Oryzias latipes: one gene and its partners. The protein of the gene in region 1 binds, or shares a complex with, the protein of each later gene. Links are inferred from orthologs where the notes say so. Each region holds a gene or a part of one and is shown in the gene's direction. Other genes may lie near its edges.

Region 1 (4,124 bases):
TCCGAAGAAGAGCAGCTGCGGCTTCTGCACGAGCAATGTTCACCATCCAGTCTGTCCAGAACCCAATTTACCTCTAACCCTTGTGCTATCTTAGATGACCCCCCACCCCCCTTACATTGACGTGTTCTCCCTACTATGACAAAGGTGGATAAAGGTGGAAAGATTTCATGTAATCCATGGACACCAGTGAAGATCACAAATCATTGAAGGAAAAAGGTTCAACACACTGTCAAGTGGGTCTGCTTGACCCAACTCCCAACGTTAAAGTGCCTAGGATGTTAACAAGAATAAAAAACATGTCAGTCGTCTACGAAAGAAATGCAAAAAAAAACAAAACAACAAAACATTATTATTAAATTATTATTATAATTATTATTTTATATTATAATTATTATTTTAATTATTATTAAAATATTATTATTAATATTATCTTTAATGCTGAGAGCCAAGTAGAAAGGTATTATTCACAAGTCTAGTTCACACTCCCTGTCGTTTGCTTTTCTCCTATTTTGATTATACAAGGATTAGCTGATAACACAAGAAAAAAGGGCTTCTGTTTAATTTGGGGACATTCCAGCAGAACCAGTGAAGGTCAATCACCCATCTTCAGGTGTTATTCTGAAAGGACAGAAGAGAAGAGAAACAAAAGTGCCAAACCAGGAATGTAAGTCATTTAAAAGAACATTTTCAAAAATATTTATGAAACTGTTTTGTGTGTTTTAAAATGAGCCTGTGTGACTACACAGAGCTTCACCATCTTTATCAAACAGAACAGTTTTAGCCTAATGATAAAGATAAAAAAGGTTTGTCTGACACCAAACTTTAAGTGGTAACTGGAGCTAGAGGACAGAAGCCTGATAACCAAAGAATGACCAACAAGTTCTAACTTTGGAACCTCTAAAAACTCTCAACAAGCGAAGAATTAGCACAAAATATTAGATCACAACAGTATCAAATAGATATGAATATTCAACAAAATGTTCTTTTTCATCCATTCAATCCATTCATAAAAATAATTTCATCAGCTATTATAATATTACTAATATAATATAATATTACTAAATATAATATAACACAATATAACTTATTTTTAGGTGTACAGTGAGGGCTAAAGCTATTTATGGACTATTTAGTATGTTAGAGATTCTTTCACGAGAAAACAGAATTATCTGAGTTCAGCAGACGAAGAACCAAGCTCGGTTTTATCTTATAAAGAAATGAGTCCACCCATAAACAAGTTTTAATAACTCAGCACACAGTGAGCCCTTGATAACCTATCTGTGAATGTGCAGCTTTCTTTACTCCATGCTGCCGCAGTTTGTTTGATGCGCAAGATGCAGAATGAAGCTCCTCTGTAATGAACTGTAACAGTGTAACACCAATTCGTGGCAATTTCAAGATGTTTAATAGAATGTAATGTTTACTAAAAACTTTCTTTTTTTGTTTTTCTACCTATTTGTTCGAGTCCTTCAGACATTTAACATTTTTTTCATGTATTTAAATGAACATTTTTGTAAACTTCCCTAGGAACATCGCAGACAAAACCAACAACTTATTCCACCAATTTTGTGAGCAGAAGAGCTTGAAGGGGCGCGCCAACGTCGCCATCGCATCCGCCTGCCTTCACATCGCCTGCAGACAGGAAGGAGTCCCCCAGAACCTTCAGGGAGATGTGTGCTGTCTCAGGACCTCAAAGAAATACATTGGTAGGTGTTTCAAGCTGATCCTGTTGGCTCTGGAGACCAGCGTGGATCACATCAGCACAGGTGACTTCATGTCCCGCTTCTGCCCCAATGCAGAAGATTTATTTGAGATGTGTTTCAGTAGTTCTTGAAACACATCATGTTAATGTTCGTATACAGTAAACGCATCATGTGTGTCTGTGTGTGTGTGTGTCAAAAAAGAATGAACAATGGAGTAAAAAAAAAGAAATAAACAAAGAAACACATTGCTTTTCATTGTAATAAAATGCCAAATTCCTAAATCTTGTTGCTTAGTGACCTGCATGCTGTGGGTCTTACCCCCTTATATATTTTAGAGAAGAACATTTTCAATTATTTAAAACAATCACAAAAATAACATGTTTTTACTTTTTCAAGAGGAACTGGAACATTAAGAAGAAGATGATAGATCATCAACTAAAATCTAGCAAACATTCTTTGAAAAAAGATGTCTTTGATGATGGAAACTACACCACTAAGAAAATTTCTGTCATTGCTCATGATTTTATTTTATTTTCTAGTGAAAATGTTTGACTTCTGACCATGTCGCTATGTAGGCTGTAACATGAAATTACTATAACAAGATGGCCTAAGACATAGTTATAAATGTTCAGCTCGCAACAGAGTTTAAAGAAAGCACTATTTTCTGTATCACCCAATAAACTCAGCATTGCTAAACTCTTCACCAGCTAGGAATTTACTTTGATTATAGGACAAAAATTCCGACACCAAACCTCCAAAAATGCAGTTGGAGAGAACTATGCCAAATAGACACACCACTGCAGATAGAAAACTATCAAATTAATTATGACTGCATTAAATTCTTAACTTGGCAGTGTTTGTAGATATAGAATAGAATAGAATAGAATGCCTTTATTATCACGCCTAATGCAATAAATGCCAAAGGTGAGTGCTGGGATTTGGAGTCAGACAAAAAAAAAAAAAAAAGTAAACTGTAACAGTCCTCACCTTTTTTCAATTATGTGTCCTCCTGGTTTATCGTTAACACCTGGGAATGAAAAATAATAATTGGTGTAATTAATTTAAACAACACCGGTAATCTTTATTAACCCAAGGAGTCTGGGCTGAAGCATTCTGCTTGTCGAAGCCCATCAAAAAAACAAACAAACAAAAAAAAACATTCAATTGATTTACTTCTGAATACATATAATTTATATATATACACAATCATACAGGTACACATACATTCACACATGCACAAACACATACATTAATGTTTACTAATTTTCAAACTATGCATTTCAGCTGTCATCTTTCAAAGGTCTTTGTTACTTTCTGAAGTGCCAATTTTTTTTTTTATTGAATAAATCAACAACACACTGTAATGTACAATCTCTCACATAGGATTGTAAAATGGAGACAAAAAAATTATACAAGGAAACTAAAAAAAATAACAAGCAGATATTTGTGGATTGATTCTTTTTGGAAGTTTTAATGATCGGTAATATATTTTGAATTCATTTATTTACAACATGACAAGGAGGGTTTGCTGCTTCTCCATTTATTTCAATGAGCGTGATATTTATTGAGTAATAAAATAATATTAATAGTATTTGTCAATGAATTATCTAGTCAATCCAACTATAGCACATATAGGGGGAATGTAAACTTAATTTGACGTCTAATTTAACGTCTAATGTTTATCCAGAAAACCTATGTATGTGTTCATAAAAGTTTATGTTCCAAAGTTTCATTGTTCAAATTGCAAAAAATTAAGGGTTCAGAAGTGCCATGAGTTAACCTTTTTCTATTTATTTATTTTTATTGATGAATGGTTGAGCATTACAAAAGATTGCTTAACACAGTAAAGCAGCAAAAATAATCCAGTAATTGCAGCCAGAAAACAAATATAGAAGAACAAACCATAGCAAGACAGAATAAACAGAGTTTTGTAATGCAAGGCTCGTCTTATTTTTTTTAGGTTATATGAGGGAGAGTTTTACTTTAGATGCCTTTCATTCACATACTTAAATAATTAAAAGGATAATTAAATCCAGTAAAATAAGAATCCAATAACTAGTCATGCTTGTAGTTTCATGTCATTCCAGTCCAGCAGATGGCGCTACGTGTTTTCCTGAAGTTGGATAGTGTTCAACAACCCCAAGAGATTTTGAACCCCTACTCCACTTGGTTTCGTCCATTGACTGTAGTAACATTCAATGGTTTCGTCTCGTTCCTGCTGTCCAATCAGACGCCGCTAAAGTGAGACACCGCCAAGATCAGATTGTTAGAGTCGCTGCTCCGCTGAACGGCTAGCTGAAAGGGAGTGAAAAGGCCAGGTAACGAACTGCTAACTTGAAGGCGCACCGGTAAGCTGCATTTATTGAATTGTGGCTCGGCGCCTCAAGTAAGAACTTTCAGTTTTGTGCACATGTTTTAAAA
Region 2 (3,517 bases), on another chromosome or scaffold:
GTGAACTCGTACCACCTGCTGCTCTGCTGTCTGGACTTGGTGTTTGGAAACGCTCTGCTGTGTGCAAACAGGAAGGACCTCATCAACCCGACCTTCAGAGGTCGGTCCGCTCCGCTTCTGCCACCTTTTCTGTTCACATGCAAACACGCATAAACTCCCCCCAACACACACACACACATGATCACGTTGATGGGAGTGATGTGCGTTGGAGAAAGCAGCTCCATGGAAGCCACGGCGGGCTTCAAACCACCGTTCCTCGCTGTGCGGCTTCATGGCCTCACGGGGAAGCGGGGGCCTTCAGGGGGTTGCACCAGCAACCGTCAAACTCTTCCCGTGTTTGGGTCTCCTCAGGTCTGCCCCCCCAGTACCGCGCAGACTGCCACGTGGTGCCTGACGAGCCCCCTCCCTGCGTGCTGGAGAGGTTGTGTGAGCTCCACGATGGGCTGGTGGTGGAAGCCAAAGGCATCAGGCAGCACTACTTCAGACCGTACATCCAGAAGCTCTTCCAGAGACAGGTGTGCACCCTGTCTCCTCACCTGTGGCCCCCCCAGTCTTTCCATTACATCCTTGGATTGCACAACTTCTGATGCTTCCGTTTTCTTTGCATCCTTTCAGATCTTGAGGGGAAACCAGGAGCTGCTGACGGAAATGCTGGACCCTCAGAACTTCATAGATAACAAGTACGGACGCTCTGGATTCTGACGCGGTTCTTCCGCCGGCGGCTCCTCACCGCTGCGTTCTGCCCGTTTCCACAGCAAAGCCGTCAACAGGGAGTATGAGGAGTACGTGCTGACGGTGGGGGACTTCGATGAGCGCGTCTTCCTGGGAGCCGACGCAGACGAGGAAATCGGAACGCCGAGGAAGGTCCTTCCAGATCGCTCTGCCGGTCAGATGCAGCAACACAGGGAGAAGGTGCGTCCTCGCAAACGCCGCCAAGTCGTCGCCAAAGTCGCTTTGACGTGGTCGTCCTGTGAGGAAGGGGCTCGCACCGCACCCACGAGGAAGACTAGAAACTCCTGTCCTGTCTCAAATCCATCATGGGTCAAACCCGCCATATGGCGGCCTGTGGTCAGACGCAGAACCAGGCGGGTTTGACCCCTCTGCTCCACCACGCCGTGAAAACGTCCAAACGGTTGATGGGGTCAGGACAGCAGAGAAATGCGCCGTTCCCCTCTGCTGCTGCTGCTCATCCTTTGTGTAGCTTTGCTTTCATTTTCCCAACAAACGTCAAATCATGAAGCTGCTCCACCATTTCCCGCCTCGGTGCTGGAAGCAGGCCATTCGGCAGACCTTCAGGAGGTTTGACCTCCAGTTACCTCTGGAGGAAATACCAGCGCCAGCGTTTCTATGACGATGAAGTCCAGCCTCTGACTGCAGCAGCATGTTTGTGTCTGTCGGAGCGGGGCTCTGCAGACCACCTGATGGACCTTCTTTCATTCTCTGCAGCCCGCCTCCCTCGCTCCATCCACCCCGCTGACGGGGCGGGGCTACCTGAAGGAGAAGGACCTGCTCGTCACTCCCGTCTCCTCGGCGACGCAGAGCGTCAGCCGGCTGCAGAGCATGGTGGCGGGTTTGAGGACGGCCCCCAGCGAAAACCTGATGCAGATCTTCAGGTGGGTGTTTGTCTTGGCACGCGCTGCTGAGAGGAAGTTCATATGAAAAATTTCTCCGTTTGTGTCCCGGTTCCTCCGTTTGCCCTGCAGAACCTGCTCCAGGGATCCCACTGGTTCCGTTCTGGCCCGAGTGAAGACTCTGGGTCAGACCTTCAAGGAACATTACACCAACGACTCGGAGGACACCCCGGGTTCTCACATAGGTATCCGGTTCTGCTCAGAAGCTGCCTCAGCTTCATCCGTTCAGGTTTAGTCCGGGAAGAGTGACGATGTTCGTCGCGTTTGCTTCAGACTTTGCAGAGAACCGCCTGAAGCTGGCTGAGATCCTCTACTACAAGGTTCTGGAGAACGTTCTGGTGCAGGAGACCAAGCGGCTGCAGGGCAGAGACATGAGCGTAAGTGGCGCGGCGCCGGATGGCGGGAAACGCGGCGGCCTGATCTGACAGTGCTGTGACTGCAGGCTCTGCTGGAGCAGGACATCTTTCACTGCTCGCTGATGGCGTGCTGCCTGGAGGTGGTGCTGTTCTCCTACAGCTCGCAGAGGACGTTCCCGTGGATCATCGACGTCTTCAAACTGGCCCCGTTTTACTTCTTTAAGGTAGAGACGCTGCTCCGCTGGAGATCTTTTAGATCCACTTGGGTTTTCCTCTGCTGAACCATGAGTCAGCTGGTTTAAGGAGAACGGCGGTCTCTGGGGCTGTGTGTGCAGGTGATCGAGGTGTTCATCCGCTCTGAGGAGGGCCTGTCCAGAGACATGGTGAAGCACCTGAACTCCATTGAGGAGCAGGTTCTGGAGAGCAGAGCGTGGACCGAAGATTCTGCGCTGTGGAGCGCCCTGAAGGCTGCAGGGAACGAAGTTCCCTCCGTGGAGGAGGTCAGTGTGACGGTGCTGACCAAGGTGAAGGTCATTGAAGGTCATTTAGGGTCTGTCAGGTTTACTGAGGTCTACATGTGAAGCCTGCTTTCATCTTCCTGCTCTCCAGAGTTTGTCTCAGCAATTCTGCTGAGTCATGAAAAGGTCTGGATTATTGTAGACCTTCATGTGGACAAAATAAAAACTTTGGATTGTTTTATTTTGTCTGCGTGAAGATTATGAACTTCAAACATCTGACGGTTAGAGCAGAGGATTCTGGGAATCCAGGTTTTTCTTTAAGTCACCTGACGACACACCTGGCAGCAGTCTCCTCGTCTCCTCCAACAGGTCAACTTCTCCTCCTGTCTGGACTCGGGTTCCTCTAACGGCATTCAGCCTCACCTGCCGCTGGCGGCCCACTCCCCCATCATCCACCCCCGCATCCGGGAGTTCAGGGCCGGTTTGGGGAGCGCGCGGAAAGGTGGGTGTCTGCTCCACGTCTGTGCAGGATGCTGCGGTTCAAGCACCGACTTTGCTTCCTCTGCCCTTTCAGAGGTGCCCCCCTCTCCGCTGTCGGTTCACGACAGGTACAGCTCCCCGGCGGCCGGGAGCGCCAAGCGGCGTCTCTTTGGCGACGACCCTCCGGCTCCGTCTGTGGGCCTGACCTCCCCCGCGGGGCCGCTGCCCTCCCCAGCCAAGAAACTGACCTTCAGCTCAAGCGGCAGCACAACGCTCAAGATCGGTGGCCAAGGAGCTCAGACGACGGTCGTGAGTCTCCCACTGCAAGGTGATCATTTCTCACCTGGACACTGAATGGGAGGAAAGTGGGAGGAGTCTGAGGCATGAGAGCAGCCCGAGCTGAAGGTGTGACGTTCAACCCGCAGGCATGAGCACCGACCGCACCTTCACCCTCATCCCCGTGTCTTCCTGCGATTCCTCCGGAGTGGTGACCGCCCAGTTCCTGCTGACGTCGTCCCCGAGCCGACCCGCCGCCGCTGTTGCCATGACGACCGAGCCGTACACGGGAAGCGGCCGGCCGCGGCGCACGGGA
Region 3 (4,185 bases), on another chromosome or scaffold:
CAGGAGTTACACTGGACATCCTTCTTAAAAGCTCTGACCTGCTGCTCCACTCTGTTTATTCTGACCGGCTGAAAGTTGGTGGATGGCTGCTACTTCAGCTCAGCATCCTTTACAGGTGAGACTCATAAGAGAGCCCTAACTTTGCAGTTTATATCAGGTGAAAGTAACTCTTCTCGTAACTTTTTGCATTGCAAAGTGCTAAATACTGTAAGGCAGACCTCATATTTACATCTAGTTGGTGGGAATGTAAAGGCAATAAAGAATTTGTTGATTTTGAGTAGATCTTTGTCTTCCTTCCAGTTTCTACCTTTTTCATCCTCTGTCCTATGGCATGATGGGTCCTCTTGCCCATGAGCCGGGCAGTGCCATGGCAGGCCTGAAGTGGATAGACTCCTGGGACTTCTAGTTATCCTTGTTTGATTAAGATGTCACAGACACGGAGCATTTTGAGCCGAGGGAATTTCAAAACATCAGTTTGAGTCTAAACATTTCATTTGTCTTTCTGTAAGAAAAAATGTGAATTCAGTCAGTTTGGAAAGCAGATTGTAGAATCTTTTAAGATGCACTGGAGTTGTCACCAAGTTGCCTTTAGTGACAAACTAAATTCCATTTGAAAGAGACAGTAGTTGTTGTTTTTTTTAAAGCCAGAACATTTTACATGTATTTTTAGTTGAGATTGTCCTGAGCTTTAGTATTATACTTTTGATTTTGTGTTTTTATTATGTTGATCAATAAATTGTTTTATTCTTGTATTTCATGTCCTGTTATATTTGCAAAATTTACAAACACAAAACGAGATGTGCCGCAAAGTCAAAAAATTGGAAAACTCAATATATATATATATATATATATATATATATATATATATATATATATATATATATATATATATAATAAATTGTACCGTTTTTTTATGTATACTTAAGTTCAAACTTGTAAAATCTGTGAAACATGGGCCTAGTAAACTAAATGCAAGAAATTGTTGTTATAAAAATATAAACTAAATGCAAAACATTCCAAATCTGGGATGTGAAAGTCTTGTTTAATAATTGAGTTATGGTTTTTCTTTCCAGAAATAAAAACTAGAGGGAATAAAAGGTGATTTAAATGTCCCCTAAGGTAAAACCATAAAATGTACCAGCATTGTAACATTTCATTGAGACTATGGTGGGCTTAAATAAGGGTCTTTTCATTAAGTTATGACAGTAATGTTCGTACTACAATTTCTAAGACGATATAAATCTTTGAATAAAACGAACAGTAATCTTCTGTGCCTCTTGTAAACAGCGCGAGCACCATTGCCGCCCTCTAGCGGCGTAATTTTGAAAAACATCGCCACACCTCAAAACAGAGCGCGGCCGCTGCGATTGGTTGTTGCATGTCACATGATTATTTTGAAGATGGCGTCTCCAAATGGAGGTAAATTTTAATTCTTCTCTCCGATACGCTTTGAATACATCGCAAATGTGACAGTTTCGAGACATTTAAGTCGTTAACAGTTATAACGCAGTGTAATGTGAACACCCAGAGGTAACGTAAAATTTGTCGTAGGACTAAATTCTTGTTTAATCGGTTTGTTTTTCTTCCTTTGTTTTTCCTGATTCTGGGACTGACATTGTCCGCCGTTGATGATGACAGCAGCAGTCCAGATTGTTCTTCTTGTTGCTTCGTTTGGCCGTTTGGCTCGAATTAGCATCAGTGCTACATTTAGCACTTAGTTATTTTTCTCTACTTTAAATTAGTAGTAGCTGTTTTGGTTGCTTGTTAGATTTTGTGTGACTGTTCGACTCCTTTGATTGAAAATGGAATCAGTCTGCTATTAAGTATTATGTCCGTAATGAGTATCTTTTAATGTGTTAAAAATGTTGAAAGCAAATTCTAAAAAGTTTAACAGTCTGCAGAACCAATAATGTTATTAGTTAGTAATTCACACTCTGTCAAGAGTTATTGAAATTTTGGATACAATTCTCTATATTGGTGAAGGACCAGTGTTCAGATTTGATAGCAAAAGTAATTGTTGATAAGAAAGAAAACCCTTTATACATATACAGACAAATAAGAAAGAAAAGTGTCTCTAACAAGTGTGCCAAGAAAAGATCCCCCATACCATCACACCACCACCACCAGCAGCCTCAACTGTTGATACAAGGCAGGATGGATCTATGGTTTTATGTTGTTGATGCTACCATCTGAATGTCCCAGCAGGAATGGAGACTCTTCAGACCAGATGTTTTTCTAATCTTCTATTGTCCAGTTTTGGTGAGCCTGTGTGAATTAAAGCTTCAGTTTCCTGATCTTAGCTGACAGTAATGGCAGCATTAGGTGTGGTCTTCTGCTGCTGTAGCCTATCTGCCTCAAGGGTTGTTCAGAGATGCTCTTCTGCAGACCTTGGTTGAAACCAGTGGTTCTTTGAGTTCCTGTTTCCTTTCTATTAGCTGGAACCGGTCTGGCCATTCTCCTCTGATCTCTCACATCAACGAGGCATTTCTGTTTAAATGGCCAAACATATTTTTACAGCAGTGTAAGAGTTATTAGTAGATGATCAGATCACCACATGACTATGACCTCTTTGAACATTTTAATTGATCAGTGTTTGTACGAATCTTAAATGAATAAAACCATTTATTCTCATTCGAAACTGCCTAATTTTAAGACCAGATAAATATTAGATTTTTTCCTCTCTTTCTGTCTAGATAAAACATGAAACAAAAGTTGTTTTTAGGTTTCAATTTTTGACCTGTTTATAAAAAGTTACTTTTTAATTTTTTTTAAATTAACATTTGGCTGAATTTTATAGTTGACCACTGATTTCCAAAAGCATAGAACTTAAAAAACTAAAGAACATGTCAAAGTGAACCACTGTGTGCTTCTGCAGGGGAGGATTTTGAGATTTCGTTGCTGAGTTTTGAGAAGCTGGACAGAGCATCACCTGACCTGTGGCCAGAGCAGTGTAAGTTTCTATCCTCCCACGCCCAGCTGATAAAAAATTACTTTGTAATTGATTCTTTATGTGAATTCTCACACAGTGCCTGGAGTTGCAGAGTTTGCGGCAACTTGCAAAAATGTGAGTTTAGCTCTGATCTAAAGATGCAGGATTGACTCTGCATAGACTGATTGGAGTTGAGACTTTGTATGTTGTTGTTTTTCTCTTTTTATTGCAGCCTATCACCACCTCTCCTCCAAAGTGGATGGCTGAGTTGGAGAGTGAGGACATTGAAATGTTGAAAGGTTGGTTCAGACAGCTGACATTTATCCTGTATAAACCTTAGGGAAAACATTAAAAACCCACTCTGATAAGAAAAACCGTGTTTTGAACATGTTCTTGTGGCATTTGATATCTTGACATCTGATAATGGAGGACACGTATAAAGAAAATTAAGCTTGAAATTGCATTTCTGAGTTCTTATTTATTCAAATCGTTGTGAATCAGGAGCAGATGAAAAAATGCTGTTTGAAATTTCTTATTTCTTAATCAATATTGCTCGCCATTTTCGTTTCTAAGGTTAGGTTGGGGGTGTGAGTGGCTGTAAGCTAGCAGTAGAGTGTATAAACTGATGATCTACTGCAGCTCTGCTCTAACTGTCCTTAAAAATCACACAGTGTTTTTTTTCTATCTCGGCAAAAAACGGCATAATCATTCATTAAAAGACCTCTGGGAACGCCTTTTAACCCTTGTGCTATCTTAGATGACCCCACCCTTACATTGACGTGTTCTTCCGACCATGACAAAGGTGGATAAAGGTGGAAAGATTTCATGTAATCCATGGACACCAGTGAAGATCATAAATCATTGAAGAAAAAAAGTTCAGCGCACTGTCTAGTGGGTCTACATGACCCAACTCCCAACGTTAAAGTGCCTAGGATAGCACAAGGGTTACAACAGATCAAAAGATCAAATCCGAGTGGGACTTTAAATAATAATTCATGTTTCTTTAGCTAATTAAGTATCTCTAAATGCTTTTATTTAGTGTGATGTTATACCTCTGCAGAGCTGGGAAGTCTGACTACAGCCAATCTGATGGAAAAAGTCAAAGGACTTCAGAATCTGGCTTACCAGCTGGGTTTAGAGGAGTGTAAGTATAACAAAGACACTTCACCACTAGGGGGGGCTAAAAGCATTTCCACGCAATTCTCTGCCGCTGAAGTCTTTGGCTGCTTCCACATTCAAATTCCAAACAGGTTGAC
Region 4 (4,094 bases), on another chromosome or scaffold:
CCATAGATCTGTTTGATTATCAGTAAAATTTGCATAAAGCTTCAAAAAGGCCAGAGGGTATATGTATATATTAAACACATCTCATATTTGATTTCCTTTATTAGATATACATTAATTCTGGCCTTAGCACACACAAAGTGTGTACTCAAGACCACATTTTAATCGCAACAAAGATTAGAATGAAACTCAAAAGGTACAAAAAGCCCTGAAAACCAAGGAAAACGACCCAACAGACACAGGAGATTCAACCAAAAGGATCCCCCACCACCACGGCTTGAAAAAAAACCCCATAGAGTTGGAGTATTAATAATAATAATAGTTTCATTAATAGTATTGTGTAGCAATCATAGTAGTAATCAAAGTCAAAACATTAATACATTTTTATTACTACTACTATTAGTCAGGACCTCAGTTGGGTCCTCTCCCTCTAGATGCAGCTCTAGATGGGGACCTGCATCCCCACTTAGCTGTGGTGGAGCGGTCCCCGCCTGTGATGCTGCATTTTGGCTGGCTATGCAGCTATTCAGAGAGAGGGAGGTTCAAACGATTCAAACATCTTGTTTTCGTGCTCAGCCTATTTCTCATTATTGTCTTTCCCCATCAGTTTAGGGGGTGGGAGGTGTGAAAGGAGTGGGGGGCTGTGTGTAGGTACAGGAAGGGGGCCCTATTTTTTAATTTTTGTGTTTATTTATTTTAATTTTCATGCTTGTTTTTGTACTATTTATTTTGTTTTAATTTAAAGAACTGTATGTTATTCTTTTAAAATTAAAAAGTGGTTTATAAATAAAGTTTGATTTGATTTAATTAATCTTGTTTTTTATTATGACCCGAGCTCAAACTAAGTGAACCACAGATTAGATTGTAGGTACGCTAACCACCAGGAATGGAAAAAAGGTTCAAACGTAAATTATTATTATTTTCGATGTAAGGAAAATATGTTTTTGTTATACAATCAACGTCATTGCCATTGACAGACGTGCTAACTTTGTTTCGATTGTGGTGCATGCGCAAACAAGCGGAAATTGCGTCTGTATTTTCCCGCGCTTTTGTACTGTCAGTTTGTTTTATTTAACTCAAGTGCTGTCATGTGATCTGTGTGAACTAAAAAAATGGTGTCTGATATGATTTAGAGTACAGTTTAATAGTAAAATTAGCTTTGACTTCTTTAGAAATAATATTCTTAAATCTAAATTCAAAATAGGGTATTTTATTCAGATATATTATCACAGTGTAAAGAACGTTTGCAAACGCTACGACATAACCTCCCTGCGGGGCAATTCCTTTGAATAAAACGAGCATACACTGAAGCACGGCTCCAGGAAGTATGTCAGATTTTGTTGTATTGTTGCCATTGAATTTACTGAGTGGGCTTTAAACTCTAAATACATTAGCTGCCGATTTAAACAAAAGTACAAAAAGGTGTACACATTTTTCTGAAAAGTAACCACTCCAATATGCCGCCTAAAAAACGCAACTCGGGAGCGGCACAGAGCAAGGAGCCGAAGCCGAGTTCTGACAAAAGCTTTGCAGACAAGAAGGGGAGTCCAGAGTTTTCTTTGAACAAGTAAGATAAGTTAACAGTCGCCATTCGGAAGGGGACAACAGATTCCCAGTATACACATTAAAACGCTCTTTACTCACTGACACAAAAAACGGGCTTTGAAGGAGTATTTTCATGAGTAGCTTGTGTACGAACCGTTAGAGTTAGCCACCGCGAGGCTAACAACATTGTACCCCTACAGTAGTACTGACAATGAATGTCGCAATCCACACAACCAGCAGCATAGTTTTACAGTGATGAAAGTCTTCCGGGAATTCCCGGAAATCCGGGTTTTTGAGCAAACCGAACGTACTTTCCGGGAAATAAAGACCTGATCTCTACGGACAAATCGCTTTCCGGATTAAAAAATGGTCTGAAATCAGCTAATTTTAGCTTTATTTTCTATATTTCTCCGCAGATCGCTTCCTCTATGGTCGTGGCCATCTCTCGTCTTCCCGGCCTAATTGACCAATGACGGGCCGTTTTAGTTGCTTTCGGATGCGTCGACGGGTCTGATTGGCTCTGTCTGCACCACGTGGTCAGCGTGACTCGCTTCCCTAGAGACCAAAACTGGCGGACCCACGCTAAACTTTCACAAACACATCTGAAGAGTTTGCGATAAAATTTGTGTTAAAATAATGGCAGGCATCGTCATTATTGAGCGTGGTCACGACCTCAGTTGTGAGAAGACGATAAAAAACAAATTGAAGTGGTCTTGGCTGGAAAAAAAAGATTTTTAAGGTAGTGTAGGTCAAATACTTTTTTGTGTAAAATAATCTCAAAACCACATTTTGAAATAATTTCAATTTTAGTTTTGAGTTTCAGTTTTTATTTTGAATACATTTCTTTATCTAATTTATTTGTATTTCCTAATTACCATGATTTAGTTCAGTATAGTTGACATTAATTACAAGTATTTGATGGTTTGGACCCGCACTCCCTTAAAAAATAATGTTTACAATGTTTAGCTTAGTTTGTATGTTTGTTTTGATATTTCCCAGATTACTTAGTATTGGTGTTAAAGAATTGATGTATTATGTTATAGAATTATAGTTAAAGCAGATCCCATATTTTGATGTAATTATAGTTTGAGAAAACAGTGCAAGTGGATGTTGTACATCAGTCATTTCTAAAGCAGAAATAATGTATAAATAACTGAGGTATTTTCATAGAATATCATAGTTACTGGTGTTCTTTTTGCCATTTGGGGCTTTGATGTTACTATATTTTAGCAATTGTATGTTTTGCAGCTTTAAGGAAAAGCGTAGATTGTAGGATTGTGTTACTTTGAGCAATTTTCCAAATTCTTTTTTGGGACCAGCAAGTCCTTAATGGAGAGTCAAACTAGGGGTTTGAATGACAAATCATGATGCTCCAATTAGTCTTAGTTTCTTGATAAAGAAGTGAATAACTAGTTGCCAGAATGCACCAGAATGCATCTAAGACCACGTATTTTTCCAAAATTTTGCTCTGTGCCCGCCATATCGCTCAAAGAAAAGTTCAGGGATTTTTTCCTTACCTGACTTTCATCACTGGTTTTAACAAGTTTCATCTACAAATAACAGGAAATCATGTGGTTTAGAAAATAGTCTAGAAGGTTTCACTGCTATATAATCTGATTTTCTGACGTTTGTTTTCCTTTCTGAAGACACACAGAGAAGGATGTGGAGTTTGTGACCCTGTGTAAGAGCCTCCACGCCACGGATTCCGTGTGTGAGCGCGCGTGGACTTTGTGGAAAACTGTACAGGATGTGATGGAAGATGTTGATGTATGTATAACCAACTGTCCGAGTTGTCACTTTGTAATGTTGGGGCCCTGATGGTAAAAGCAAAGATACATTTATAGATCAAAATAAAAGGGATGGCAGGTTGATGCAGTCTGAAACCAAATGCCAACCAAGCAATTATACTTATTTTTTCCTCTTTACGTGACAACAAAGTGCCCCAGCTAAATGTACTTGCTTTTATATTTCATTTAAACTTAGATGCATTTTAATCAACCATCTGAAGGATTTAAATGAGTCTGATGACAGCGCAAACACATAACTTTCTTTAATAAAGAAGTTCCTAAACCAGTGAAATAAAGAGATGACAGAAAAATAATGAAGACTGACAATTAAACAAGCAAACACTGAAATCTCTGCTATGGGAAAGAAAATTATCGGCAAGTTTTTTCTTAAGATATTTGCACAAACAAGGAGATTGTAACACCATGACTCCAGGGTGTCATGGAATCACCCAGGTAGAATTTATTAGTAGCTTTGACAAAAATAACATATAAAATCTGCCAAAACAAGACCTTATTGTGGAAAGTCTAATAACAATCAGTAATTATGCAGTCTGACATCAAAAAGCAGAACATTTCTTTCTGGATTAAAGAAATAATGATTCATAAAATTAAATATTTTGTTTTTGTACCAGTTGTCATCTGAGCTTGATTTGACGCAAACTGGATCAGAATTGGGATTTTCAGAAACCTTTTGAATATAATAAAGACTTGTTTACTTTAACACTGTGCATTTTTTTTTACTATTATGGCTCAATTTTACCTAAG
Region 5 (4,312 bases), on another chromosome or scaffold:
GATCTACATGGCTTTTGAGAGGAAGAAGGTTTAAGTTCCACTCCAATCATCCCCTGATCTCTTTTCGTTTTTAGCCAAAAATACATTGGAAAAAAACTGTTTGTTTTCTAGAACATAGATTCTGCAGAGCGCCAGGAGCTGTGGGCGTGACTGTTGGCACAGAGCAACCCCCTTGTTGCTGAGAGCTCTTTGTTTACACACTAGATAAAAGCCCCTCAACCTATTTGTCTGCAAGTGGATGCATCAGAATGGGGCGGAGCAGGGAGCCTGTGGCCCCGCCCGGCGGATTTTCTACGTCACAAATGCGATCTTTTACGAATACTCGGAAATGCAACTTTGAGCTTAGTTGTCTTAATCTGTAGCAGTCCTGTGGAGCTCGGTGCAGAATGCTCCTTACCCATAGACTGGATGGTGGATCCTGCAGACACATTCTGGTTGTTGGGGTCATTGACTCCCCCCTGGCCATCCAGCAGGGACTGGACTGCTAGAACGGTCTGGTTGTCCATGCCTGAGGGGATGGAGGGAAACAGGGATTTAACATCAGTAACAGCTTTTCTTTTTACAACATGTTAGAAGAAGATCTGCTTCTCCATGAAAGTGACAGAAACAATAACGCGAGGAGTGCATGTTCACATATTAATGAATAGCTTTTATTGTCACATGTACAGCTTTTACACTGACATACGAGATGAGTTATTATATTACAGAAATAATTAATATTACATTTACAAAAAAAGCCGTTTATAGCAGTACAGTCTTAATCTTTAAAATATAATCAGGTTGTTTACAATCATCATCATCAGATCAGGCAGAACCCTTCAGTTCAGGGTGCTTACAGCCTACATAATACCCGTTTAAAGGGTGATTTAGTGTTCAAACAAGTCTCCAGTTAATTTACATGATGTGGTTTTCTTTGGCATATAACATATTTAATAATTGCGCGGTAAATAAGACTATATTTGTACCTTCCAGCGCCTCGAATATTGTCTGCGCCATCTTACAGCGCTCCTGTTTACCATCGGTGATCGATTGGTAGGGTCTGTTACTTTAGGTGCAGACCCCCCAATGAAATGCTTACATTAATATTTGCAAATAGAAAAAAACTTATCACATTTGGTTCAGACCCCCAGAAAACTCTAGTTTAGAAAGTTCCTAAGCAATCAGATTTAACTTTATTTTTTGTTAATCTGATTGCTTAAACGGAGAGGGAGCGCTAGGGACTACATTGAAAAAACGTAACTTTTTTAAGCTGGGACGCAAAGACTGTTACATCATATATTTAATATGGTAAAGGAGTTTATCTTTTAGTTTTGGGAAACCTTACATGAAACTGACACTACGTGTTTTACTATTTTGTTTAAAATTTCCTAAACAAAGCAGTTAAGAAGCCTTTTGTCCGTGGAACGTGAATGCACCTCCCAATCAGCAAATCTGTGCTCTGGAGAGTCACAGACGGCCATCTCCGCCAATCAGAGAACACCAACCTGGTCACATGGAAGGCCAGTTTTCCCCATGCTCTGTAACGTGACAGACGGCCATTTCCACCAATCGGAAGACACCAATCGCGTCACGCGCAAAACGAATCCCACTGGCCAATCCCAGCGGTCGCTTTTCCCCACGTGCCAGTTTCGCGGCAAAAAGGATTTCGCGCGAAAACCGTCCAGCCTTGTTTAGATATAGATCAGCTGGGACAACAACAATGACGGCTGCTAATGGGGTCGGCGCGGCTCGTTTACAGATGGACCCGATCTTCGGCGAGCAGACGAAGGAGCATCGGCACATTTTTTAACGTTTGAGCGAGTATTTCCTCCGTTTTGTCTGCATCTCCCGCGTTTCTCCGAGTGCTTCCTGCGTGCCCCAACAGTACGAGGGGGACCGAAGAACTGCAGCTAATCCCTGAAGCTAGCATGCTAAAGTTCCCCGTATTTCCGCGCTAAACTCTCTGTCGTCGCCGTCGCCCGGACGGATGGTTGCTTTCTTTTGGGAACTATTTTCTCAAAGATGGTGTGGATCTGCGATCATGATGCCTCCGCCGAGTGAATGTGTATTTTTTTTATTGCTTAGATAGCCCAGTTCTGTGAGCGTCTATAAAGTTTTCCGAACCCGTTAATGAAGCCATATCGTAGGGAAAAGGAGATAAACTTTTAGGTAGTGGTGGTAAATGTAGTCCTCTGCTGTTGTTCGTGTTTATTAGCAAAGTTGTTGTAGTCTTTTCTTGTGGTAAGCTAGTTCGTTAGCTTGGTAGCTCTGTGTTTGAGGACGGAGTGGCGAGGCCTCTGACAGGAAAACGAAAGACTAGCAGGCTAGCTCGCTCATGATCTCAATTTACGGCGGGTTTCTTCTTCTACTTCGTCTTTTGACCTTCTTTTATTTCCGCTGAAAACGGCGCGCGAGCCGAGCAGCGCGTGAGCCTAAAGTAGGATGCGCTCAGCGGGTCGTTTCCTGTTTGGGCTCCACGTCTCGCCTTGACGTTTGAACCTTCGACTCCTCTGTGGTTGATCTGCAGATTTCAGGCTCGCTGTAGGTCAACCTTCAGCAGGAGGAGGAGGAGGAGGAGGAGAGGTTAATGGATCAGCATTTTCTCCTCAAGTCCTCCTAACATGTTTGGGGTCACCTGGTGCTGAGCCTGTTTTGATACCCCAGTTGGTGCCCCCACCCTCCCTGGCATTCCCCCAGTCTGCTGCAGGAGCCCTTTGGGCGGCAGGCAGTGCCATGTCAGAGACTCTGATAACGGGTCAGACATCCGAGGATCTGCTGAAGGACTTTGAGACTCTGCTGAACTCCGGGAGCATCGATCTGAGCCAGGACCACCAGATCGTCATCATCACCAGCCCCAGCAATGAGGGACTCCACCCGCTGGCCGCCCCCAGCAGCACGGGGGAAATCCTGCTATTCGCCACGCCGCAGAGCCACGCCGACGCGGGGGGCCAGGACAGGAGGAGGCCGGCTCTGGGAAGACCTCCGGTGAGGGCGTGGCTTCAAGGCGGCCGCCGCCGCCACATCATCACACGCCGGGGTTCACATAATCGATTCCTCTTCATTTGATGATTAGGTGAAGAGGAAGCTGGACCTGGATAGCGACCACCAGTATGTCAGCACCACCCGATCCTCCGCCAGCCAAGCACCTCCTTCTACTCCTGCTCCTCCCAGAGGTACGCCGCACGCTCAGGAGCAGGAGCGCCGACTCGGCATCCTTTCACGGCGCTGAAGCTGGCGTCCGGTTAGCGGGGGCACTAAAGGAACATTCCACTGCATTTTTCACCCTAAGACCACCTTAGACCAGGTCCTTTTCAGAAACCACAGGACCTGGGCTGCTCAAACCTGGATTAAAATTAGGATTTAGATAGTAAAGAATTCATTAAACACAGCTTCTGATTTATGAACATTGAAATGGGATGATTTTATGTAGTTGATCAATTTAAAATGATCTATTTTTAGTCTGCCGTCGTTTGGTGAGCTGCATTGCAGGCAGACGACACGAATTCACAAGAGGGGAGGCAACAGAATCCCAAACAACAGAGCGCTGCGAGCAGGAAAGCCACAAAAACTTTAAAATGATTAAATAAAAATGAGTCCAGGTCCAGCGGTTTTTCAAAAGGACCGGGTCTTAGGAGGACCCGGTGCGTAAAATACTATAAAATCCTCCTATTTCACATTTTCATGAGTCAGAAACTGTGTTTAATGAATTCTTTACTATCTAAATCCTAATTTAATGCAGGATAGAGCAGTCCAGGTCCTGTGTTTTTGAACAGGACCACCAATCATTTTACATCTTTTGGATTGCGTAACGCTCAGACTGACTCATGACATCATGGCGTCCACATGCTGCGTGAAGCGTTTCCGTCCGCAGACGTTTGGGGCCGTTGGGATGAGAAGTTGAAGGAGAATTTCTGCTGAAGGCTGAGCCTCAGTTCCTTTTGTTTTTTTATCACTGAAATCCACATTTGACCGTTCAGTTCTAAGATGTTTCCTTCAGCAGAATCTTCATCGGTGGATTTCTATTTTTAAACCACCAAAAGACCCGCCGTGGCTCCGAAATCCAGGTCCCGTGGCCACGTCAGAGAGGGCGGGGCTTGGAGTTTCTTTAAAGGCTGGTTATAAATATTACCTTAAAGAAAATAAAAGTTTCGATGGCGTGGTCCAAACGAGGCCTGCCTGTGCCGCTGGAACGTCTTCACAGCTGGAGTCGGAGGATCACCTGTTTTCCACCTGGATGTGTGTTTTGTTTGTGGAGGAGGTTTAAGGCGGCGTGTTTTTCACTGCTTTTCCAGTTCCTCGAAGCACGGCGGAGAAGTCGAGGTACGACACCTCC
Region 6 (3,965 bases), on another chromosome or scaffold:
AAATTAGACATAAATTAGAGTGGTTTTCTTTTATTTTCAACTGTGGGATGTATGACAAAATGAAAAAGAAAAACATAGGGAGTTCCTAAAAATATGCTCAAAAATTCCTGAAAAATTAGGAATTTGAGAACAGAAAAATTCCTAAAAAGAATTTAAACACAACATATTGAATTTCATGTAAGTAGTTTTTCTCTGGGGAAATTCACCCGGCGATAGTGCCCTAGAGTTAACCATAAGTACATGTATTCCCCTAAACTAATACACTATTTTTTAATCATAATATTTTGATATTTATATCAGTTTGATAGGTCATTGTATGAATGTCTAACTGATGATTGTATTGTTTTTGTGTACTATTCTTATTTGATTGCTTTAAATAAACCATTTTCTAATCCAAATATTTGAATTTTGTTTAATTTTCTTATGTGAAATCAAAATTACAAGTAAACTTTAAAAGTCAAATTAAATTACAGGCCTAAATGAAGCTGTTCGCTGATCTTAATTAATGAGAACTGTTCTATCCAAATTTTTACTGAGATTGAGAAGATTGAGCTTAAAAGAAAAGTTATAAGATGAACAATGTTTACCTTCAACTCGCAACAATCATAAAAGACCTAACTATTGACTAATCATTTTATCTTAGCTTATAAGAAGAGTTCACAAATATTTTATATATTCATATACTGATTCATTTAAAACTAACCTTTTCATTATTTTTTTTAACTGTTTTCCGGTTTTAGATTAAATTTAACTTTTTGGGTTATTATTTTTCTAGCTTTATTTATTTATTTGTTAGTTAGTTAGTTAGTTAAGTTAGTTTGGCTCTTTTATTTTTAAGTTGGTTTTGTAGTGTAATTATTTCTTTTAGGACAATGTATCTTTGCTTCAATATTTTCATTCATTTATTTGTCTATATCATTTTTTTTCAATTCTATGTTGTATTTTTTTGTCTATATAATTATTATTATTATTATATTTTAAATTATTTATTTATTATTTATTTATTTTATAAATCTTAATTACAGCACCTAATTAAAAACCATTTTGAATCAACCAAACATTACATTTATTTTATTATAAAGCGTCTTAACATTTTATTTTGAAGGTCATCCATAGAGGTTTGAAGCCTTCTGCGCAGATCTACGGAGCACCTACGTCACTTGAGAGTCAGCAGTACGGAGAAGGGCGCGAGATAGAAATTGCGGCGCGCGGACGAAGCTCGCGCCTACCTCTAGCTGTGGCTTCCCGGCTCTATTATAACTGCAGTCGAGGTTCTTTCGTCAGAACTGGACATCCTGCAACGACCCAGCCGTGTCACCTGCAGGTTTTTCCCGCAAACACCTGCAGCCCAGCCCGGTGAAGTCCACGTTTGACCCAAATAACAGTGGGAAATGTCATCGTGGCCGCGCGGGTAAGATCCGTGTTTTTGTTTGCTTTTAAGTTTGCTTGTTTGTTTATGTTGCATCTGATGAGCTGACTTCTGCTCCGATCGGGTTGTGGGGAGTTTGCGCGGACTTTGACTGCCGCCTTTTTTCCGGACTTGGCTCAAACTCCGACCAGAATCACCGCCGGTACTTTTCCAGATCACTGCTTCCTGTCAGTAAAGCTGAGCCGCAATCCCGCGGATCCGGTCTTTCTTCGGCGCCTTTAGGGTCAAATCTCAACCTCTTTAATGTGTCCCGGCAGGGAGGACGGGGAGGAGGCCGCGCATCCGGACACGGACACCGATCTGACGGAGTTCAGGGATGGAGGGAAAGTAAAGGTCAGATGGACGCAGGAGGAGGTAAAAGTTCACCCTGAGTGGGGCCTGTGATTCTAGTGCAGTGTTTTTCAACCTTTTTTGAGCCACGACACACTTTAACCTTGACAAAAATCCTGCGGCACACCAGCATCCAAAAATGTGAGAGAAAAAAGGAAAAACTTATAGTCAGTCTGTATTGATCTACTACAGCCCCTCCGCAATCTCACATGCATTTTTGTGACAATTGTGGCAGAAAAAGCTGGAAGTTGCAGCTGTTTTTTTTCTAAAAGATGTAATAAAAGTTAAGTTAAAAGATTTAAAAACTGTTTGATCTGTTTTCGTTGTGGTTTCAAGACGTTTAACAAGGACGACTCATTCTGCGCTAAGACGCTGTCACTTTAACCCAATGCATCATGGGAGATGTAGTGCAAACAGCCGCAGAACGCAGAAAGACTAGCGTCTCTGAGCTTCATTCTTTTGTCCACTTTTTCCACGGTCTGATACCAGATTCTGTGGAAAGCTGCACCGCTAAAGACGAGCTTTAGCTGATATTTTTGTTGGAACTGAGAGACTTTATGAGCAGAATCGGAACAAGGAAGTGAAGACTTTAACCACTTCTGATTGGTCAGACTGTTGACGTGTGATTGAGCCTCCAAGAATGATTGGTGGAGACAGTTAAAGGGGCGGGACTATTCCTTATACAACTGTAGCTGCGGCTAAATCACGGTACCGTCATTCTTATCAACATGTCTTTAATAGAATCAAATAAACACAAAGAAAAATGTATTTTATGGTCTTTCATATTCCTAACTACTCAGTGTTTTATCAGGGCCTGTTTGGATGAACAAAGAGCTGTTATCCTGGAGTTGGGAAATCTTTTTAGATCAGTTAATGAGGGCAATTTCCCACGGCACACCAGACCATCTCCCCCGGCACCACGGCACACTGGTTGAAAAACACTGATATAGTAGCCCTCGTGGTTTTGCAGCGTAAAACAAAAATGATTTGTGTTTGTTTGTTTTTTGCAGGACGACAAGCTCAAAGGTCTGGTTCAAAAACTGGGGACAAATGACTGGAAACGAATCTGCAGCCACCTCCCTGTAGGTCTAATAGGGGCGTATCTGTCTGATCATCACTTTGTGTTGCACTGCAGGAACTTTGATTTATACAAATTTACGAAATCTTACTTTTATACAGGGGCGGAGCTACAGGCGGGCAAGAGGGGGCACCCCCCCCCCCCCCCTGCATAAATCTTAGCCTCCTAATATTTGAGTTGATATGATAATCATTATTTTCATAGGTTTAGAAATCATAAATACTAGCTTCTTTAAGTATTGCAAAAATAATTTTAAAAAAAATTATTTTAAAAAAAAGTTCTTGTTGCCACCCTTTCAAAGTCTTCCACCCCCCCTTTAAAATCTTCTAGCTCCGCCTCTGCTTTTATGATTTCTTTCACTGAAATGTTTTCTTGCAATTATCCAACACTTTTATTGCTCAGACTTAAAAATATAAAACCAAGTTTCAGCGATTACCGTAGGCAGTTTTAATATTCAGTTTTCCCTTTTATAAAGCATTTAGAGTTTAATCCTAGTTCAAATTTTCCCAAAGAAGAGAATCCCCTTTTGTAGGATTTTGGTAAACCGAATGTTGGATTTGTCAAAGTTGGGTGACTTGATGTTTTTTTTGTTTGTTTAAACTTTTTTTGCACTAAAAATCTGGGATTAAAAGACTTAAAATTATAAAAATTCCTTCAAATTGCAGAAAAAAATTTAAGGTGAGAGGATTTAATCTGCACATTATTTCTGATGACAAAAGAACAAGGACAAACCTGCAGCAAAAAATAAAGTTACATATATTTCAGAAAAAAACATTTTTTTTGGTTTTTCAAATCCTGTAGAGAGAGAAAGAAAACTGCTTTTTAAAGTACTTTAAACAATTGTTTGTCTTTTTTGAAGAAAAGGTTAACAATTATTTCAATATCGTTTTTTGCAAGTACTGTTTTGGTGACAAACATGTTGGGATTGATCTGGAGATGATCGGGATCAGAGGTTTAGTTAGGACGTTTTTCCAAACCTGACGCTTGTTCTGTTGGTCCAGAACCACTCGGAGAACCAGTGTCAGCACCGCTGGTTTAAGGTTTTGGATCCCGAGCTGGTTAAAGGTCCGTGGACTAAAGAGGAAGACGAGAAGGTAAGCTGCCATTCAATTAGCAAGTCACGTTCTG
Region 7 (4,034 bases), on another chromosome or scaffold:
AAGTATTCATTTCTTTTTCCTATCTAAGTAACTTTTGAAAAATGATTTCTAAAAGTACACTGTTCCTTCCTTTTCAGTTAAACAGATTTATAATAAAAAACTAGTACTTTTACTCTGCCACATAGGCTATATTATTCTAGCAAGTTTTGTGGGTGTAACATTTGCAGCATTTTGTTTTTGGTGATGTAAATTAATAATTGCTGGTATATGCAATCAACTAATTTGAAATTGTAAGATGGGATATTTTAAAATCTCTAATGCAGATAAACATCTTTGTTGTTTTTGTAAAGGAGCAGAGAATTCTGGGTATTTTAAAACATTTTACAACTAATAATAGTTATAAACTCATTAATAAATATAGTATGGGAGGTTTTGTGTTACATCTGATAAGAAAGATTGACATATCTGATGTCAGTTATTATCAGCCATCATGTTTAAAAATACTGGCATGTACACAAAAAAGAAATAAAAAATCCAAGATTGTGCATCTTTGTTTTAATCTACAAATCAGGGTTTGCCAAAAATATGTATACAAATATATTTTTTATTGTAACTTCAGAATGTTATCCAAATATTTTAAAAGTATCACACATTGCACACCAGTCCCCCCATTTTCTGCCTACCTTATTTTACAAGTTTTAGTCTCTGCATCACATTATAATCCTATGCTTTAATTATTTGTTTATTTTTTGTTTTTACAGAAGTTTAAACAAAGCAAATATTTGGGGAATTTTGCTTTACTTTTATTTCATTTAATTCTTTACGTAAAGCGTGCAAACAATTACAATAAAACGTTTTAAAAAAAAGTACAGACAGATTAATACACTGTCAGAAGACAGCTGTTGGAAGACAAATGCAATAAGTTAGCAACGATACCAGTCTTATTTTGATGTAGAGTTGGTCGTGTTTGAATAGGTTGAAAATATGAATATGTGATAAACTATCCAAACAAGGGTAACATTACTTCAATTAAAAATTAAAAAATAAATAAATAAATAAATAAAATGCTTTCATATTAATAAATACAAGTTATGAACATAATCAAAACAATAATAAATCTGAATGATCCCCCAATCGAAACATCCAAAGAGCTCAAGTCCATTCAAACAGCATTTTGTGCTTTCTTCGTGCCATAAATTAAACAAGGAGTTTATTTTAGAACCGTGAATGTGTTATTTCCATGACTTTGATGGCAAACCTTCACTTTGCGGGCCGTTTTTGACTCTTGTTTCTCAAATCGCCCTCCACAGATTCCCGACCCAGAATGCATTTTGACAACGTCTTTGAAAAAGCAGCGCGGCTAATTCAAGATGGCGGAGATGGACCAGCTGTTAGACGAGAGTGAGTAAAAACACGAATTTACCGAGTTAGTGGAATAAGAGAGCGTTGCTTTTCACCTAATCAGACGAAACTCGTTTTGTCAGACAAATTTAATTTTTCGTTTAGGGGTCACTTCAAGATTTTTGTTTATTTAGAAGGTCAATTTGAACGTAAAAGAGACACCGGTTTGTTCAAATCAGCTAACGTCTGTTAGCTGGAGCGGCTAACCATAGCTAATGTAGGGTTAACTAGTTAGTTTGGCTCAAATGGGTAAACTATGCCTGCTAGCTTAGCTAGGAGCCAACAACTGCTAACTTTGTGTCGCTATCGGTAATAATAACAAAAGGGTTTCCTCAACGTTCTAGCCTGCTAGTTTGGTATCGGTGTATTTGGTCAATACTATTTTTATTTTCTCGCGACACAGTGATATATTAAATGTTAGCTAATGCGGATTTAAGTGAGTTTCTGGTGTGTTATTTCGCATTTTAAAGTCTAATTTGAAAACCGAAAGGTTCTCATCAATGGAAAATAATTTGAACGCAGCTAATGTATTGTATAGTTCTTGAAAACCGAGGCGACCGCATCTCGTTTATTTTTTTGCTAGTTAGTCCTGGTTTTGACAGCTCGGACTGAGGTAAAGTAAAGGCCTTAATTGCCAGTCAACGTATCCAGTCGTTGACAGATGTCATGATGGGTTTGGTTGAACTAGCTTGTGTGTAGTACGCTTGCTTTTTTGTGTTGTTGTTGTTGCATTGTTTTTTTTGTACGCTAGCCTTTTCATCTTTATGCTGTGTTATTTTGTACATAATGATTAATGCAGCTCGTTTTGTCTTCTTTCTCAGGTTCCTCGGCAGAGGCTCTCGTCAGTCTTAAGGGTATGTCAACAGTTTTATCATTTGTGGACTGGTCTTTAAACTGACAAAATGATAACTTGTATTTGGAATTGTCATTTTTATGCCTGACATTAGACTGTACAAGACCTTGTTTATTTAAAATAATAGATATCTTTGAATTCATGTTTTACTTATATTTACCTATTTATATTACAAAAAAGAAGCCGTAAAACGAACTGGATATTTCAATTTTATATTTTTTACTCACAATATTATCAATAAATCTTTTTTTTTCCCTACAGAAGGAAGTTTGTCCAACACTCTAAATGAAAAGAACAATTTCCCAAGAACTCACAACACCAGAGGAAGACATTCCTCCCTCACAATGGATACAGTAAGAACAGTGATTCTGGTTGGAATTAGAATTTTTTTTTTCCAAGATGAAAATAATGTTTTTAGTGTTATGATGGAGGGCACACAGTATATAAAGAAAATTAAGATTAAAATATCATTTCTGATTATTTCTTTATTCAAATCATTGTTAATCAGGAGCAGACGAAAAATGCTGTTTTAAAAAAGCCTGCAGCTATGATGTAGGCGCTACAATCGCAAGTTCCTTGCTCCACTTTTTTCCGGTGCATCTACTTGCAGACAAATGAATGATTGCACGTCTCTGTTTTCCTCTTCCGAGCTGGTATCCGGCTCAAAACTGTACAGCTGGAAAGCTCCAACATTGCTTGTTATTTTTGATGCGTCTGAAATGTTAGCTTGGGGTTGTGAGTGGCTGTAAACAAAGGAACCATGGGAAGTCAGGACAGGCCTGCCCACAACTCAGAGGGGAATTTCTAATGAACTACTGCCGCTCTGCTGAAACTTTCGATGAATATTTTTGATTTTAGCAAAAAAAATAGCATAATCATAATTAAAAGACCACTCGGAATGCTTTTAAAATGGATCAAAAGATGTTTGGAGTGGGAATTTACAAGTGTCTAAAATCCTGCTTATTATATTTGATTTTAATGTTTACAAAGTTGAGCAGAAAAGTACTGTACTTTCAACTTTAGGGATGATTTGAATACATCTCATGTTGAGTCAATATCAAATATAAAGCATTAGTTGGTCAATTATCCTAAAAATTGTCCTAAAGAGTAAAGACATTTAAAAACACTGAACCCCACTTTGCCTCTGGTGAATATAGGTTGGCGCCAGCGTTCAGCAGCAGAGCTGCCATCAGTGTGAATGTTTGTGTGAATAAGTGAATGGGACTATGACTGTAAAGCGCTTTGGGCCTTTGAGCAAGGTAGAAAAGCGCTATACAAGTCTAAGCCATTTACTAGTAAAAGTAAATTACTGGTAAATGTAAAAAAAAAAAAAATTCTACAGTCTTCATTTCTCATGTTACATGTTTATGAACAAAGACTGCACAAGCTTCATTTATTTGGAAGAACTTGGAGAACTCAAATGAATGGGCTTGTGGTTCAACCTGCATACAACACATATTTGCATATTATTATCCACAAAAAAAATGTCTTGAAGTTTTCGTCTTTTAATAAGTTGCTTGTATTAATATTTAATGACACCAGCCTCTGTTAACTTCTTGCTACCATGCAGCTTCAGGATGTACACTATATAAACCTGTAATCCTCTTTAGTTTGGCTGTAATAGATGTACGTTTGGTTTCATTTTTAAAATTCTTACAGGGATATTTTAAAAAATACAACACAAATATGTTAAAATCTAAACTCAACTCTCTAAAATTCCTTTAATAACTGTGTCCATTGGATGTATTTTCCTTAAAACCTGGAGCTTTCTAGTACAAATCTTTCGCACTGATTTAGAGGCTGCTATCTAAATGAGTTGAGGTTAATAAAGCTCAGTTTT

Evidence for each region.
Region 2: the proteins of tfdp1 (region 1) and rbl1 are in contact, whole or in part, in a crystal structure (PDB 5TUV), measured with the Homo sapiens proteins. The link is inferred for Oryzias latipes from reciprocal best matches to the Homo sapiens genes TFDP1 and RBL1. Residues at the interface, in NP_009042.1 of Homo sapiens: Pro260, Phe261, Ile262, Thr290, Phe291, Glu292, Ile293, His294, Asp295, Ile297, Glu298; in NP_002886.2 of Homo sapiens: Tyr1004, Phe1006, Asn1007, Ser1011, Leu1014, Ile1017, Asn1018, Ile1021.
Region 3: tfdp1 (region 1) and lin52 share a complex: the UniProt entries of both Homo sapiens proteins name them as parts of the DREAM complex. The link is inferred for Oryzias latipes from reciprocal best matches to the Homo sapiens genes TFDP1 and LIN52.
Region 4: the proteins of tfdp1 (region 1) and rb1 are in contact, whole or in part, in a crystal structure (PDB 2AZE), measured with the Homo sapiens proteins. The link is inferred for Oryzias latipes from reciprocal best matches to the Homo sapiens genes TFDP1 and RB1. Residues at the interface, in NP_009042.1 of Homo sapiens: Gln222, Glu225, Leu226, Gln229, Ile262, Val271, Asp273, Asp288, Asn289, Thr290, Phe291, Glu292, Ile293, His294, Asp295, Glu298, Arg302; in NP_000312.2 of Homo sapiens: Ile835, Ser838, Phe839, Thr841, Ser842, Phe845, Gln846, Ile848, Asn849, Val852, Cys853, Asn854, Ser855, Val858, Leu859, Lys860, Arg861.
Region 5: the proteins of tfdp1 (region 1) and e2f1 are in contact, whole or in part, in a crystal structure (PDB 2AZE), measured with the Homo sapiens proteins. The link is inferred for Oryzias latipes from reciprocal best matches to the Homo sapiens genes TFDP1 and E2F1. Residues at the interface, in NP_009042.1 of Homo sapiens: Glu201, Cys202, Leu205, Glu206, Glu208, Arg209, Arg212, Leu213, Arg215, Ile216, Lys219, Gln220, Gln222, Leu223, Leu226, Ile227, Gln229, Gln230, Phe233, Lys234, Leu236, Val237, Arg239, Asn240, Arg241, Glu244, Pro251, Ser255, Val256, Ile257; in NP_005216.1 of Homo sapiens: Arg202, Leu203, Leu206, Thr207, Asp209, Leu210, Leu213, Gln214, Ser216, Glu217, Leu220, Asp221, Leu223, Met224, Ile226, Cys227, Thr228, Gln230, Leu231, Leu234, Asp239, Ser240, Gln241, Arg242, Leu243, Ala244, Tyr245, Val246, Thr247, Cys248.
Region 6: tfdp1 (region 1) and mybl2 share a complex: the UniProt entries of both Homo sapiens proteins name them as parts of the DREAM complex. The link is inferred for Oryzias latipes from reciprocal best matches to the Homo sapiens genes TFDP1 and MYBL2.
Region 7: tfdp1 (region 1) and lin9 share a complex: the UniProt entries of both Homo sapiens proteins name them as parts of the DREAM complex. The link is inferred for Oryzias latipes from reciprocal best matches to the Homo sapiens genes TFDP1 and LIN9.

What each region holds. Positions count from the first base shown.
Region 1 is NC_019879.2:10,686,695-10,690,818, reverse strand, and holds the start of tfdp1 (transcription factor Dp-1), read left to right. Parts: upstream 1-1,308; 5' UTR 1,309-1,413; intron 1,414-1,527; 5' UTR 1,528-1,706; intron 1,707-3,888; exon of another isoform or gene 3,889-4,051; intron 4,052-4,124. UniProt on the Homo sapiens protein: Can stimulate E2F-dependent transcription.
Region 2 is NC_019863.2:32,783,180-32,786,696, reverse strand, and holds part of rbl1 (retinoblastoma-like protein 1), read left to right. Parts: coding exon 1-100; intron 101-351; coding exon 352-515; intron 516-615; coding exon 616-680; intron 681-755; coding exon 756-912; intron 913-1,446; coding exon 1,447-1,613; intron 1,614-1,703; coding exon 1,704-1,816; intron 1,817-1,904; coding exon 1,905-2,008; intron 2,009-2,073; coding exon 2,074-2,211; intron 2,212-2,322; coding exon 2,323-2,487; intron 2,488-2,814; coding exon 2,815-2,947; intron 2,948-3,019; coding exon 3,020-3,253; intron 3,254-3,350; coding exon 3,351-3,517. UniProt on the Homo sapiens protein: Key regulator of entry into cell division. Directly involved in heterochromatin formation by maintaining overall chromatin structure and, in particular, that of constitutive heterochromatin by stabilizing histone methylation.
Region 3 is NC_019880.2:13,721,170-13,725,354, forward strand, and holds the start of lin52 (protein lin-52 homolog), read left to right. Parts: upstream 1-1,382; 5' UTR 1,383-1,385; coding exon 1,386-1,419; intron 1,420-1,470; exon of another isoform or gene 1,471-1,530; intron 1,531-2,205; coding exon 2,206-2,259; intron 2,260-2,875; coding exon 2,876-2,950; intron 2,951-3,026; coding exon 3,027-3,064; intron 3,065-3,161; coding exon 3,162-3,228; intron 3,229-3,989; coding exon 3,990-4,073; intron 4,074-4,185. Other genes in the region: pomt2 (protein O-mannosyl-transferase 2), read left to right, coding at 4-115, 301-406.
Region 4 is NC_019872.2:15,934,085-15,938,178, reverse strand, and holds the start of rb1 (retinoblastoma-associated protein), read left to right. Parts: upstream 1-1,291; 5' UTR 1,292-1,454; coding exon 1,455-1,564; intron 1,565-3,188; coding exon 3,189-3,309; intron 3,310-4,094. UniProt on the Homo sapiens protein: Tumor suppressor that is a key regulator of the G1/S transition of the cell cycle. The hypophosphorylated form binds transcription regulators of the E2F family, preventing transcription of E2F-responsive genes.
Region 5 is NC_019865.2:2,000,232-2,004,543, reverse strand, and holds the start of e2f1 (transcription factor E2F1), read left to right. Parts: upstream 1-1,507; 5' UTR 1,508-2,416; intron 2,417-2,506; 5' UTR 2,507-2,712; coding exon 2,713-2,964; intron 2,965-3,052; coding exon 3,053-3,152; intron 3,153-4,271; coding exon 4,272-4,312. Other genes in the region: znf341 (zinc finger protein 341), read right to left, coding at 398-508, 966-996. UniProt on the Homo sapiens protein: Transcription activator that binds DNA cooperatively with DP proteins through the E2 recognition site, 5'-TTTC[CG]CGC-3' found in the promoter region of a number of genes whose products are involved in cell cycle regulation or in DNA replication.
Region 6 is NC_019863.2:23,223,529-23,227,493, reverse strand, and holds the start of mybl2 (myb-related protein B), read left to right. Parts: upstream 1-1,153; 5' UTR 1,154-1,391; coding exon 1,392-1,411; intron 1,412-1,686; coding exon 1,687-1,783; intron 1,784-2,769; coding exon 2,770-2,841; intron 2,842-3,838; coding exon 3,839-3,931; intron 3,932-3,965. UniProt on the Homo sapiens protein: Transcription factor involved in the regulation of cell survival, proliferation, and differentiation. Transactivates the expression of the CLU gene.
Region 7 is NC_019882.2:7,716,600-7,720,633, forward strand, and holds the start of lin9 (protein lin-9 homolog), read left to right. Parts: upstream 1-1,229; 5' UTR 1,230-1,310; coding exon 1,311-1,341; intron 1,342-2,162; coding exon 2,163-2,195; intron 2,196-2,455; coding exon 2,456-2,547; intron 2,548-4,034. UniProt on the Homo sapiens protein: Acts as a tumor suppressor. Inhibits DNA synthesis. Its ability to inhibit oncogenic transformation is mediated through its association with RB1. Plays a role in the expression of genes required for the G1/S transition.